Linked DNA regions of Macaca fascicularis. The protein of the gene in region 1 purifies or fractionates together with the protein of each later gene. This does not show direct contact. Links are inferred from orthologs where the notes say so. Each region holds a gene or a part of one and is shown in the gene's direction. Other genes may lie near its edges.

Region 1 (3,504 bases):
ATCCTCACCAAGACAGGGGAGCTGCCCAGGCAGCCCACCACCCACCCTGAGGAGACAGAAGAGGAGCTGACAGAGCAGCAGGAGGCCTTGCTGGGGGAGGGAGCCCTGACCATGCCCCGGGAGGGCTCCACAGAGAGTGAGAGCACACAGGAAGACCTGGAGGAGGAGGAGGAGGAAGAGGATGGGGAGGAGGAGGAGGATTGCATCCAGGTCAAGGACGAGGAGGGCGAGAGTGGTGCTGAGGAGGGGCCCGACTCGGAGGAGCCTGGTGCTGGTTACAAAAAAGTGAGCCCCGTCTCTGGTCCCAGCCCTTAGTCACCACCCCTCTGTCCTTCCCCACCCGTGCCTTTGCCCTTGTCTTTCCCTCTCCCCCATCTGCAGTTTCCAGGCTGTGCAGGAGCAGCTTTCTGTAGAGAGCAAAAGGGGAGTGGGAAGGAGGCCAGTGGGGAGAAGGGGGAGCTGTTTGTGTTGATCTCAGAGCTGTGTCTCCTGGGCTGCCAGTTCCCTCCCTGTCTCTGTGATACTGGCCTGCCTCTCTGCATGTGTGTCTGTGTGTGTGTGCATGTGCGGGTGTGCACGTGTGCACACGTGGCCTGTGTGTATCTGCGTTTCTGCCTGCGTAGGGCCGGCTGTGCGTCGGTCCCTGTGCGTGCCTGTGCGTGTGTGTACACACACGCCCCCGCTGTTACTACTGTCTGCCTCACGCCTAGCTGGCACTCCATTCATTGCGGACACAGCCGAGCCCTCCAGGCCTGACTCATCCCGCCCCCACCCCGCCCCCGCCCCTCCCAGCCTCTTACCTCAATGCTACTCTTTGATGTGACTCATCACATCTCCCCCATCCCTCCCTGTCTCAGGAGATGTGTCTCCTGTCCCTAGAGGGAGCAAGTGGGAGGAGGTGGGGGAAGGAGGAGACTTGGAAGAAAAGGTCTGGATTGGGGCCCCTCTGGAGGCCCTGACAGGGCCTGCCCTCACCCCTGTCCTGGCTGAGTCTGACCCAGGCCCCCTCCCACTCTCCTCCCCTGCAGCTGTTCTCAGATGCCCAGCCGCTGCAGCCGCTGCAGGTGTACCAGGCGCCCCTCAGCCTGGCCACTGTGCCCCACCAGGCCCTGGGCCGCACCCAGTCCTCCCCTGCTGCCCCTGGGGGCATGAAGAGCCCCCCAGACCAGCCCGTCAAGCACCTCTTCACCACAGGTGAGCCCCCACCACTTGTTATGTCCTTCTACCAGGCACCAGAGGGCCTGTGCGTGGTGTCTGCCCCATGGGCAGGGGGAAGAGGCTGCTGGGGCCCCTTAGGCACCCTGAAAGGAGGGGACACAGGCTTTTGTTCTCTCCCAGTTCCCCAGAGCTGTTCGTGGTAGTGGCAGGGCCTTCTGCCTCAGCTGGGAGAGTGGGTAGCATCTTTCTCACCCCGCTGAGGGAAGGACTGCCCCACAGCCTGAAGTGCTGGGTAGAGAGAGCCTGCTGTCTCTATTGGGCCCTGACCTTCCACCTTCCCTTCCTTCTCCCTGTGAGGTCTGGGATGAGACCAGAGTCCTCTTCCCCATGAAGCTGCCACAGGCTGGGCTCTGCAGGGACACAGATGTGCCTGAGGGTGGGCCTGTATAACCAGTGGGGAGTAAGACATAGGGGTTTGGCAGGAGGGGGAAAGCAGGAGGTGCTATGAGAAGGGTGCAGCCAAGGAGGCACAGCTGGCAGAGATCAGACCCATGCGGGTGTCCAGGGCAGCCTTACTGGGGCTTGTGTAGCAGGGAAGCTTCTGACAGGCAGTAATGGAGCAAAGGAATTTCAGGAGTCGTCGAGAGGGGGCAAAGGCTGGAGAGGAAAAGCCAGGTGCAGTGACTCACACCTGTAATCCCAGCATTTTGGGAAGCCAAAGTGGGAGGATCACTTGAGCCCAGGAGTTTGAGACCAACGTGAGCAATATAGTGAGACCCCGTCTATTTAAAAAAAAAAAAATAGGCTGGATGCGGTGGCTCACGCCTGTAATCCCAGCACTTTGGGAGGCTGAGGCGGGCAGATTACCTGAGGTCAGGAGTTCAAGACCAGCCTGGCCAACATGGTGAAACCCCATCTCTACTGAAAATACAAAAGTTAGCCGGGCGTGGTGGCACATGTCTGTAATCCTAGCTACTTGGGAGGCTGAGGCAGGAGAATTGCTTGAGCCCAGGAGGCAGAGGTTGCAGTGAGCCAAGATCGTGCCATTGTACCCTAGCCTGGGCGACAGAGCAAGACTCTGTCTCAAAAAAAAAAAAAAAACCAAAACCAAAAAAACGCTAGATGTGGTAGCGCCTATAGTCCCAGCTACTCAGAATGCTGAGGTGGGAGGATCGCTTGAGCCCAGGGTGGTGGGGGCAGTGGTTGAGGCTGCAGTGAGCCATGATAGCGCCACTGCACACTCCACTCCAGCCTGGGTGACAGAGTGAGACCCTGTTTCAAAGAAAAAAAAAAAGCTGGAGAGGAGAGGGTGCAGGTGTGTGGGAGGGTGGCTGCAGTGGCCACGGGGAGGTGTTTGGACCTGGGGGTTGGAGAGAGCTCCATGAGCCCTGCTGAGGATCATGGTAGCCACACTGGGACCCGGGGCCCAGAGCAGTGCTGGCTGACACATAGGTCTGTGGCGCAGGTGTGGTCTACGACACGTTCATGCTGAAGCACCAGTGCATGTGCGGGAACACACACGTGCACCCTGAGCATGCTGGCCGGATCCAGAGCATCTGGTCCCGGCTGCAGGAGACAGGCCTGCTTAGCAAGTGCGAGGTAAGGGAGCCCCTCCTTCCTCTGGCCCTCAACTTAAATTCAGCCTTTGTTTCCCCATTAGAGAAGCCTCTCTTCATGCTTCTTCCTCATCCTCTCTTCAGCCCCAGACTTCGGGGCCAGTTCTCCCACCACCCCCTGTTCCATCCTTTGCAGCCTGTTTTCCCCCATGGTCCCCAGCTGAGTCAGGGAGGATCTGGGAGTAAGGTCATGACAGAGCCAGGATCTACTTTCTGAAAAATATTTGGATCTCCTAAGGCCAGGAAGTGACTCTGTGTACCCCTGGCTATGGGGCAGAAAGGGTCTGAGAGCCAGGCGCGGTGGCTCACGCCTGTAATCCCAGCATTTTGGGAGGCCAAGGCGGGCATATCACGAGGTCAGGGGTTCGAGATCAGCCTGACCAACATGATGAAACCCCGTCTCGGCCGGGCGCGGTGGCTCAAGCCTGTAATCCCAGCACTTTGGGAGGCCGAGACGGGCGGATCACGAGGTCAGGAGATCGAGACCATCCTGGCTAACAGGGTGAAACCCCGTCTCTACTAAAAAATACAAAAAGCTAGCCGGACGCCTGTAGTCCCAGCTACTCGGGAGGCTGAGGCAGGAGAATGGCGTAAACCCAGGAGGCGGAGCTTGCAGTGAGCTGAGATCCAGCCACTGCACTCCAGCCCGGGGACAGAGCGAGACTCCGTCTCAAAAAAAAAAAAAAAAAAAAGAAACCCCATCTCTACTAAAAATACAAAACTTAGCCGG
Region 2 (4,238 bases), on another chromosome or scaffold:
TAAATAAATAAATAAATATATCAGAACAAAATAAACTATACAAAATACAAAATGTTTGCTTAGGTATGTATGTGTGTACTTAAGCAGGGGAAGGGGAAAGTCTAGGGAAGTGGAGAAGAGAGAGGCAGCGCTGACTACATAATCTGCGTGGCCCATTGCAAAATACAAATGTAAGACTCCTTGGTTAAAAATTATGAAGAACGAAACAGCGACAGCAGACTATTGTTCCAGAACATTAAACCAAACACGGGTCTTATGAGCTGTGGCCTATACAACTGCACAGTCGCACACCCATGAAGCCCACCCTGGTGGGAGGAGAGAATTAGAATTCATCTCCAACGAATGTAAAACAATCCCTACCCTGCCAAAACAACAAAAATAAACGATCCAAATTAGGGCAGGTTGTGAACAATCCTGATGGCTGTGCTTGTGATCATGGTGGCGGGGCTGAGGTGGGAGCACTGCTCCTATATAACAGACTTTAGAGGAGAAGGAAAATAGTTTCTGAAGCTCCAAAGGAGAAACTTCAGGCGCAAAGAATAAGGTAAAGGAAAGGAAACCGCGTCAGACCCTCCTCCTGCCCTTGGGCAGTCAATGCCTTTTCTTTCCAAAGCGACCCTCTCTTTAGATCACTGTGTATATCCGGTGCCTTAGGAGCTGGGGTGGAGTAGGTAGGGTTGGCTGTAATGGCGTGTCAGAGCGACAAAAAGGGTAGGGACAAGTTTAAATCCCTTTCTGTGGATTGGCTTCTACCCTCTTTGGCAACAAACCCCAGGGCTCCCAGAGGGGCCTGGATGTAAGTGGTTTCCGGATGACCCATCCTCCCTTGACCCTCCAAAGGTAAGACCCGAGGGGAACCGCTGTGATCAGCATTCTTGAATTCCTCAAAAGTCACCTCACTTGTAGAAGTGCGTAGTCCTCGAGCATTTGGAAGAGGTGGCAGGGACCGTGGGGCCCGGGAAGTTCGCGACCCCAGGAAGCGGGTGTGAGGAGGTGCGCCCCATCCACTCCGTCCGCAGTCGGGGCAGCGGGACCCGCGAGGACTGGAGTCCCTGCAGGGAGGGAAGGGCCGCTCCTGCCGAGGCGGCTCCGAGCCCCGCCACTCGGTCCTATCCCGGCTCGCGGAGGCTCAGGCCTCGGGAACTGCGGGCGGAGGGGGCGGCGACCGGGCACCCTGCGGCCACTGCTCCTGCGACTCCCGCGCCCGCCGGGTGGTGGCTCCGCAGTGCCCGCCCCCAGCTCCCCTTCCCCGCCCCTCACGCCCCCGCCCGGCGCTCTGGCCGCGCCGACCCGCCGCCCCGTCCTTCCGAGCGCGCCAGGCGGCAGCTTCTTGGCGGCGGCGGCGGCACCTCCCCCGCGCCGGCGGCCCCGCGCCGGCGGCCGCGCTCCGGGCCGCAGAGTCCTCCCGCCTCGGCCATTTTCCCTCCTCCCCATCTCCTCCCCTCAGTCCACTCCCCTCCTGATCCTCATCCCCTCGCCCTCCCCCCGCGCGGGGACTTTTCCGGAAAGTTTTTATTTTCCGTCTCGGCTCTCGGAGAAAGAAGCTCCTGGTTCAGCCGCTGCAAAACTTTTCGGCTGCCGCGCCGCCGGCCCCCGCCCTCGGCTGCCCGGCCCCGCGCCCCGCTGAGCGATGAGCGCCCCTCCGGTCCTGCGGCCGCCCAGCCCCCTGCTGCCCGTGGCGGCAGCCGCTGCGGCAGCTGCCGCCGCACTGGTCCCAGGGTCCGGGCCCGGGCCCGCGCCTTTCTTGGCTCCCGTCGCGGCCCCGGTCGGGGGCATCTCGTTCCATCTGCAGATCGGCCTGAGCCGTGAGCCAGTGCTGCTGCTGCAGGACTCGTCTGGGGACTACAGCCTGGCGCACGTCCGCGAGATGGCTTGCTCCATCGTCGACCAGAAGGTAAGTCGCCGCGCCGCTGCCAGCCCGGCGCCTCCCCGCGGCGCAGGGGGCGCTGCCCAGCTGGCCCTCTCTGCGCCAACTTTCCGGCTCCCGGGGCTCGGCCGGCGGCCAGCCTCGTCGGCGCTCTGGAAGCGACTGGCCTCGCCGCGGCTGGACGCCTGCAGCCCGAGGCACTGCGCTCGCTGTTGCTCATCCTCCTCTCGCCCCATCTTCCTCTATTCACCGATTTGTCTCCAGTCCGCCTACTCCTCACCCATTTCCATCCTTCTCATGACAATTTCCAGGTATCTTGCCCTTTCCTCGCCGCGCCCCTCCTTGTCCTTGAGACTTCCCAGTTTTCTTCTCCTCTGTCCCCTTCCCCTATGGACCCTGGACCAGCGCATTCCTGGTGCCGGAATCCTACTTCCTGCACCAGAGTGCCCCTGGAATGGCCTGGAGACAAGAAATTTCTCACCTGTCAGCTAAACTGACCAGGACTGCAGCTACCCAAGGCCCTGTCATCTTTTAGTTCCACCTCTGTATGAACATGGAAACACATTTTCCAACGACAAAACCTGAAAGTTGCAACCTTCCTATTTTTCATTCCCGGGATGCTGATAGTAGGACGTTGAAGTGGTGGGGGTGATGTCCAGGAACATCCCAAGGCTGGCTGTGCCCTTAAGTTTGAGGCTGTGGGGCTCTGGACAGCGGCCACTCAAGGCAGGTTGGAAGAAGGGCCGTTATCTGGGGCCAGGCCACCCCCGGAGGAGACTCAGTCCAGCCACCACTGTTTACAGTTGCAATTTGGATTTTCAGGTTGCCTCTGGAGCTATCCAGAGGGATGTTGCATGGAAGGGGGTGATACAGATGTGAGGGAGAGGGGACCATGGCGCCAGTCTTCTTAGTGTAAACAGCCAGCGTTTCAGGGGGTGGAGACAGAGGTCTCTAAAGGTGCTGAATTTTTCAGCCCTGGAGGACTGGCTAGCACTCCTTTTGCTTTCCAATTATCACTTGAATAATCATGAATTGCTTTCTTTAAACTATGTGTAACAGAGTTTGCTAAACCTTGAGGGTTGTGAGTTGCGGCACTGAGCACAGGGATGTTAAAAGCCCCAGGTGGAAAAAAATAACCGATCTAGAAAGTTGTGAAAGTTCTAGACTAAGGTAACAATGAGTGCCAGGAATTTATTTATGGAACTTTACTTTTATATTACGGGTAATGTCAACTGTTTGCAACTTCGAAGAAAATGACACATTTTGTCTAATGCTGATGCAAGTCATATCATGCTCCTTTTCCACATCAGTATTGTGGAATGTCTATTGTGGGTAAGCAGGAGCACTCTTCTAGGCACTGTGAAAGCCTTGTATACAACCCTCTCCATTTGGATGCAGACCAGTTAATTAAACAGCAATGCTTCATAACCACATATACAATGTACAATAAAATTTCTCAAAAAGCAAAGGTAATTCTGTACAATTTTAACTTTTCTAAATTCTAAAGCAAGTGATGTAGTGTCAGAGAATATTCAAATTGGGTCAAAGTAATATTGATAGACTTTGTTTTGACCAGCTTGAATTCTCCCTCCTCCCCGCCCCCAACTTCCTTATGGAGTTCAGGATGGAGAGACTGATCCATGGCTCAAGAGGTTTGGTAGTGGGATTTTAAAATGGAGGGTGAATTCCAGGTGTCTTGGAAGCTACCAAGAGGCGTGTTACATGGAGAGAGTGAGATGAGAGCAGAGGGAGAGGGACAGCAAGCACTTACGGAATGCAGCAGGCCTGAAGGTGGTGGCTGGGGTCTTTAAGGGAAGTACAGTTATGAAAAGGCCTTGAATTAAACTCAAATTGCGAGAAGCCTCAGTAATCTTTTCACAGCGACATCATACCAAGGACATCTGAAACATGGATTTGCTGTGTGGAGGTTTTAGAATGCCAAAAATGTTATGGCAGAAAGAGCACCAGAGTTCAGTCATGAGCAGTTGGAACATGAGCCAAGACTCTTGGGGGAGAGACCGGGAGAAATACTGGAAAGAGAAAACCATCAGCCCTGATAGGTGACTGATTTATAAGGGGAATCCTTTCCTTTTGTATTTGTTTTGGTAGTTTCTTCTGTCTCTCAAAGAAGTTTGAAAAGTTTGACTGTTTGGGATAGTTAAGGTAAAGATCTAACTGATTTTTTTTTTTTAAGGTTATAAAAAAGTTGGGGTTAGATTTATATATGTGAACTTGAGGCTTATTTATATACAGAATACTGTAAATAAATATATACTAGGTAGTGTTTCTGGACAGAGGACTTTTTCAATTTCTCTATCATCTGTCATCTCTTTCAGAATATATTGCTATCCCAGCAGAAACAAAATTAAGA
Region 3 (4,167 bases), on another chromosome or scaffold:
TGGAATTTGCAAATATTTTCTCCCATTCTGTGACTTGTCTTCTCATTCTCTTAACAGTGTCTTTTGTAGACTTTTCAAATTTTAGTGATGCCCAACTTACTGTTTTTTTTCTTTTATGCATCATGCTTTTGGTGTTCTAGCTACACAGTCATTGCCAAACCCAAGGTCATCTAGATTTTCTCCTATGTTATCTTCTAAGAGTTTTTATAGTTTTACCTTTTATGTTAGGGAGTATGTTCTATTTTAAGTTAATTTTTGTGAAAGATATAAAGCCTATGTCTAGAATTTTTTTTTTTTTTTTTTTTGCATATGGGTGTCCAGTTGTTCCAGCACCACTTGTTAAAAAGGATGAATTGCCTTTGCTCCTTTGTGAAAGATTAGTTGAGTATATTTGTGTGAATTCCTACTGCCTTTTAATTAAAATTTTGGGTACTGTATATGGGGAATGCTGGTGGTATTTGTTGCAAGCAGATTCTTGTTTTCCCCTCCCTCCAGTCAATAACTGAAAATAAGTGTTTGCAACACACACACACACACACGCACACACGCACATGGCTAGTGCAGTGGGTATCTGTGTACATCATTGTGGACCCCTCGCCCTGTTATCCTTCAGCTTTCTCAGAATACACTAGCTCCTTCCGGCTGTACTTTATTTCCTTGTTTTCTCCCACCTTATAGGACTGCACATTTGAAAAATCGTTGAAACAGATTAAATAACACAGTCTAATTATCACCTACCGTACAGCCCATCTAGCATTTCAAAAAGAGGAATTTTGGTGAGTTCATGATAAATGTAGGCGGTCTCTCTTCCTGTCTTAGGTCTTACAGTGTCCTTTGGGGCCCTGTGAATCTATGATAAAAGATATTGACTCTTTACGGGTAATAAGGCCGGTGGGATTATTGGGCTATTACCAACCAGTCAAGATGAATTCTGAGCTCTTTTGCTTTGTCAGTTACAGGAGATCAGCTATAAATCCTGGCCACACAGTGCTCCAGTTTGAGAGTGATGATTTCCACCACTTTCCCATACTTTAAAAGATTGGCATCTGCCAAGTGATCAAAACACACAAAGAGGCCTTTTAACCAAGTTTAGCTTGAATTTCCAGTTGCTAACCACAAGCAGGTCTGGCAAGCTAGGAGGCCGGTTGGCTGCGCAGCTACTCCAGAGTGTGCGGTAGCCGAGGGCTGCGTCCGCGTAAAGCCCAGAGCTGTAATGATGTCAACTTGTTATTTACTTTCCAAATCTGAATGACTGAGCAAGGCGAAAGGAGAATCAATCAACCACAATGTGACCCTACAGGCGGAAAAAACGCAGCGCTCCCACCAGCAGGCGGTGGGGGAAGGGAAGCACGTGTAGCCAGGGCAGGGTTGCATCATGAGCTCTTTCGCTCGGGTTTTCTATTGCACCCTTCGTTTTTCGATTGCATGTAATAGTCAGCATCAGTCTGCACAAGCCCAGGGAGCCCGGGAGCAACGAAGGGCAGGCTCAAGGGAAGGCCCCACCAAGTCCTTCTGGGGGGCCTTGAATGGCAACTGATACGTAATAAGACACAATCTATTCTGCTGATTCACAATTATGGAGACTGTGTAAGTGTGTATTTTTTTTATTGATGTCCTCTAATGATGGTGTAGCAACAGTCATTTTGCATCATTGACGTTTTACGGCAATATTTTGCAGGGTAATTTTGAGGTCCGCCTTTTTGATGGAGGACCGGCCTCTTAAAAACTCACCTCCGGCCGGGCGCGGTGGCTCACGCCTGTAGTCCCAGCACTTTGGGAGGCCGAGGCCGGCGGATTGCCTGAGGTCAGGAGTTCGAGACCAGTCTGGCCAATATGGTGAAACTAAAACTACTAAAAATACAAAAAAATTAGCTGGGCGTGGTGGCGTGCGCCTGTAATCCCAGCTACTCCGGAGGCTGAGGCAGGGGAACTGCTTGAACCAGGGAGGTAGGTGGAGGTTGCAGTGAGTCGATATCGTGCCACAGCACCCCAGCTTGGGCAACTGAGCGAGACTCCGTCTCAGAAAAACAAAAACAAAAACAAAAACCTCACCTCGGGTCCCCCTCCCCCCACAACCAGAACAACAAATGGTCTAGTGTTCGAGGAAGAGCAAGTAAGGTTATAGTTTAGATTGCTGAGTGCACCGGACTCTTAGCACGAAGCTCATTATATAGTAAAGGAAGGGGCAAGAATATTTGAAAAATATTCAACAAGGCTGACCCCAGAGGTGCTGGGGAGGGGGAGTGGAGATCTGTTTAACTGAATTAAGGCCGCGAGTGGTGGGGAGTAGCCTACGTGGAGGGGAGGAAGGAGCGCTGGGGACTTAAGTGCACCGGGGCCAGGCCGTGTAAGCCATTGCAACATTAAGCACTTTGCAAGGCCCAGAGGGCTGAAGCCTGGGGGTTGGGGTGGGAGTGCTGAGGCCCGAGGGCCCAGGTCCCCCTAACCTCCTCAGCCCCCACACCCGAGCTCCTGGCGCCTATGCTTGTGTGTCTGAGTTTGTCCCTAAGCGTTTCTGGCTCTTCCTGGGAGGTGTTTTGCAAAGGTCGAGGCTCCGCCGGAGCCCCCACTTTTTGAGGTGGGGTAAAGACTACTGGGGTGTCTTCTAAGACGCTTATTTTGAGGGAGATTCACCATCGGGCAGGTGGCAGGGGGTTCTCTTGGGGCAGCTGGGTGGCTTCCTTATTGGGGTGGGGGAGGGTAACACTTTAGCAGGGACCGAGGTTCCCCTGCCCCCCCGAAACAGAGGGGGTGGCCGAGGTTCCCGTCCCCTCGAGGCAGTCGTGGAAAGGCTGGGTTTGGGATGTGATGGGGGTAGCCCTGGGGTCCTCTCAGTCCCACGGAGGCCACGGGGAAGGGACCGGGACCGGAGCAACTCGGGAAAGGCTTGGGTTCCCCTCACCCACCCTAGGCGTTGGGGAGCGGGGCGGGCTTGGTAGGGACGCTGGTCCCCCGACCGTGGGGCAGGGGCTGGGTTGGGACGCGGGTCCCCTCTAGGAGCCGCGGGGGAGGGGCAGGGCCGGAGTCCCTACCCTCGTGGGGGAGGGGCTGGTTCGGGACGCGGCTCCCCCGGGGCTCAGGGGCGGGGCTGGGTGGGACGCCGGGTGCCCTCCCACGGCCGTGAGGGAGGGGCTGGCGGAGGGGGCGGACCCCTGGCGGTAGTCCTGGTTGGGGTCCGCGCGCTCGCGACCGCTCCCCGCGGAGGTCACTGCCCGTGCCAGTCCCTCCCGCTGTTCCGCCCTCTCCCGCCGCCGCCGCCGCCGCCTCCGCCGCCGCGCCCGGCTCAGCGGCCCCACTCCGCGCTCGGGAGCGAGGAGTCGCCAGCGCCCCCGCCGCGCCGCCGCCGCAGCGCCCTCCGGCCGCCATTCGCCACCGAAACTTTCCAGCGCCCGCGCCCTCTCCGGGACTCGGCGGCGGCGGGGCGGGGGCGGCCCGGGGGCGGCGCGCGGCTGCTCCAGGGCGCCGGGCCCTCTTCGGCCGCCGCACGGCCGGGGCTCGGAGGCTGCCGGCCGGAGGGAGGTTCGGAGCGCGGCCGGGCGCGCGGCGCCGCCACAAGTTGCGCTGTTCGCGGCGAGGTGAGTGCGCGGGGCTCGGCGGGCCGGGCGCGGGGTCCGCAAACTTCTGCGGGGAGGCGGTTCCCGCGCTGACCCTCCAGGGTCTGGCCGGCGACTCGGGGCGCCCGGACGCTCCACCCGCCCCTGGAACTACAGGAGGCGCAGGTCGCCAACTGTCCCCGTGGCGCTCGGACTGGGGTGCGGCGCGCTCCCAGGAGGCTGAACAATACCCCGAGGTGGCCGCTCCCCAAAGTGCCGGCGCGCCTTGCGGGGAGAGACAGAGGTCGGCGGGGGGCTCCTTTGTTTTGGGGAGGGGTAGGTGACCGGTAAGTTTATGGAAGAGCTCGGCTTTTCCTCTGGTGCCCCTTTGTCTGCCGATCTTGGGGCTTGCTGGGCAAACCTGCGCCACCGCGGGCTCGGGGGACCGGGGTGGAGGGCGGTGGCGGGATTTCCCCGCTGTTGGGGAGAGGAGCCCCATTCATCCCCGGGAAGCGGGCCGGCCCGCCCGGACCCGGGTGGAAGCGCAGCCTTACGAAGTGAGGCAAGCGGCGGGCGAGGTGGCGCGGGCCCCGCGTCTGCTCAGTTTCTGAGGCGCAGAAACTGTCAAGGAAGT

Evidence for each region.
Region 2: the proteins of HDAC5 (region 1) and PRKD1 purify together in Homo sapiens (affinity purification with western blotting; 4 studies listed by BioGRID, with this or other methods). This does not show direct contact. The link is inferred for Macaca fascicularis from reciprocal best matches to the Homo sapiens genes HDAC5 and PRKD1.
Region 3: the proteins of HDAC5 (region 1) and TBL1X purify together in Homo sapiens (affinity purification with mass spectrometry; 3 studies listed by BioGRID and IntAct, with this or other methods). This does not show direct contact. The link is inferred for Macaca fascicularis from reciprocal best matches to the Homo sapiens genes HDAC5 and TBL1X.

Annotation. Positions count from the first base shown.
Region 1 is NC_088390.1:65,135,603-65,139,106, reverse strand, and holds part of HDAC5 (histone deacetylase 5), read left to right. Parts: coding exon 1-285; intron 286-1,028; coding exon 1,029-1,194; intron 1,195-2,623; coding exon 2,624-2,757; intron 2,758-3,504. UniProt on the Homo sapiens protein: Responsible for the deacetylation of lysine residues on the N-terminal part of the core histones (H2A, H2B, H3 and H4).
Region 2 is NC_088381.1:97,748,459-97,752,696, reverse strand, and holds the start of PRKD1 (serine/threonine-protein kinase D1), read left to right. Parts: upstream 1-1,434; 5' UTR 1,435-1,630; coding exon 1,631-1,894; intron 1,895-4,238. Other genes in the region: uncharacterized protein, read right to left, coding at 896-1,434.
Region 3 is NC_088395.1:9,143,523-9,147,689, forward strand, and holds the start of TBL1X (F-box-like/WD repeat-containing protein TBL1X), read left to right. Parts: upstream 1-1,364; 5' UTR 1,365-1,587; intron 1,588-3,137; exon of another isoform or gene 3,138-3,575; intron 3,576-4,142; exon of another isoform or gene 4,143-4,167. UniProt on the Homo sapiens protein: F-box-like protein involved in the recruitment of the ubiquitin/19S proteasome complex to nuclear receptor-regulated transcription units. Plays an essential role in transcription activation mediated by nuclear receptors.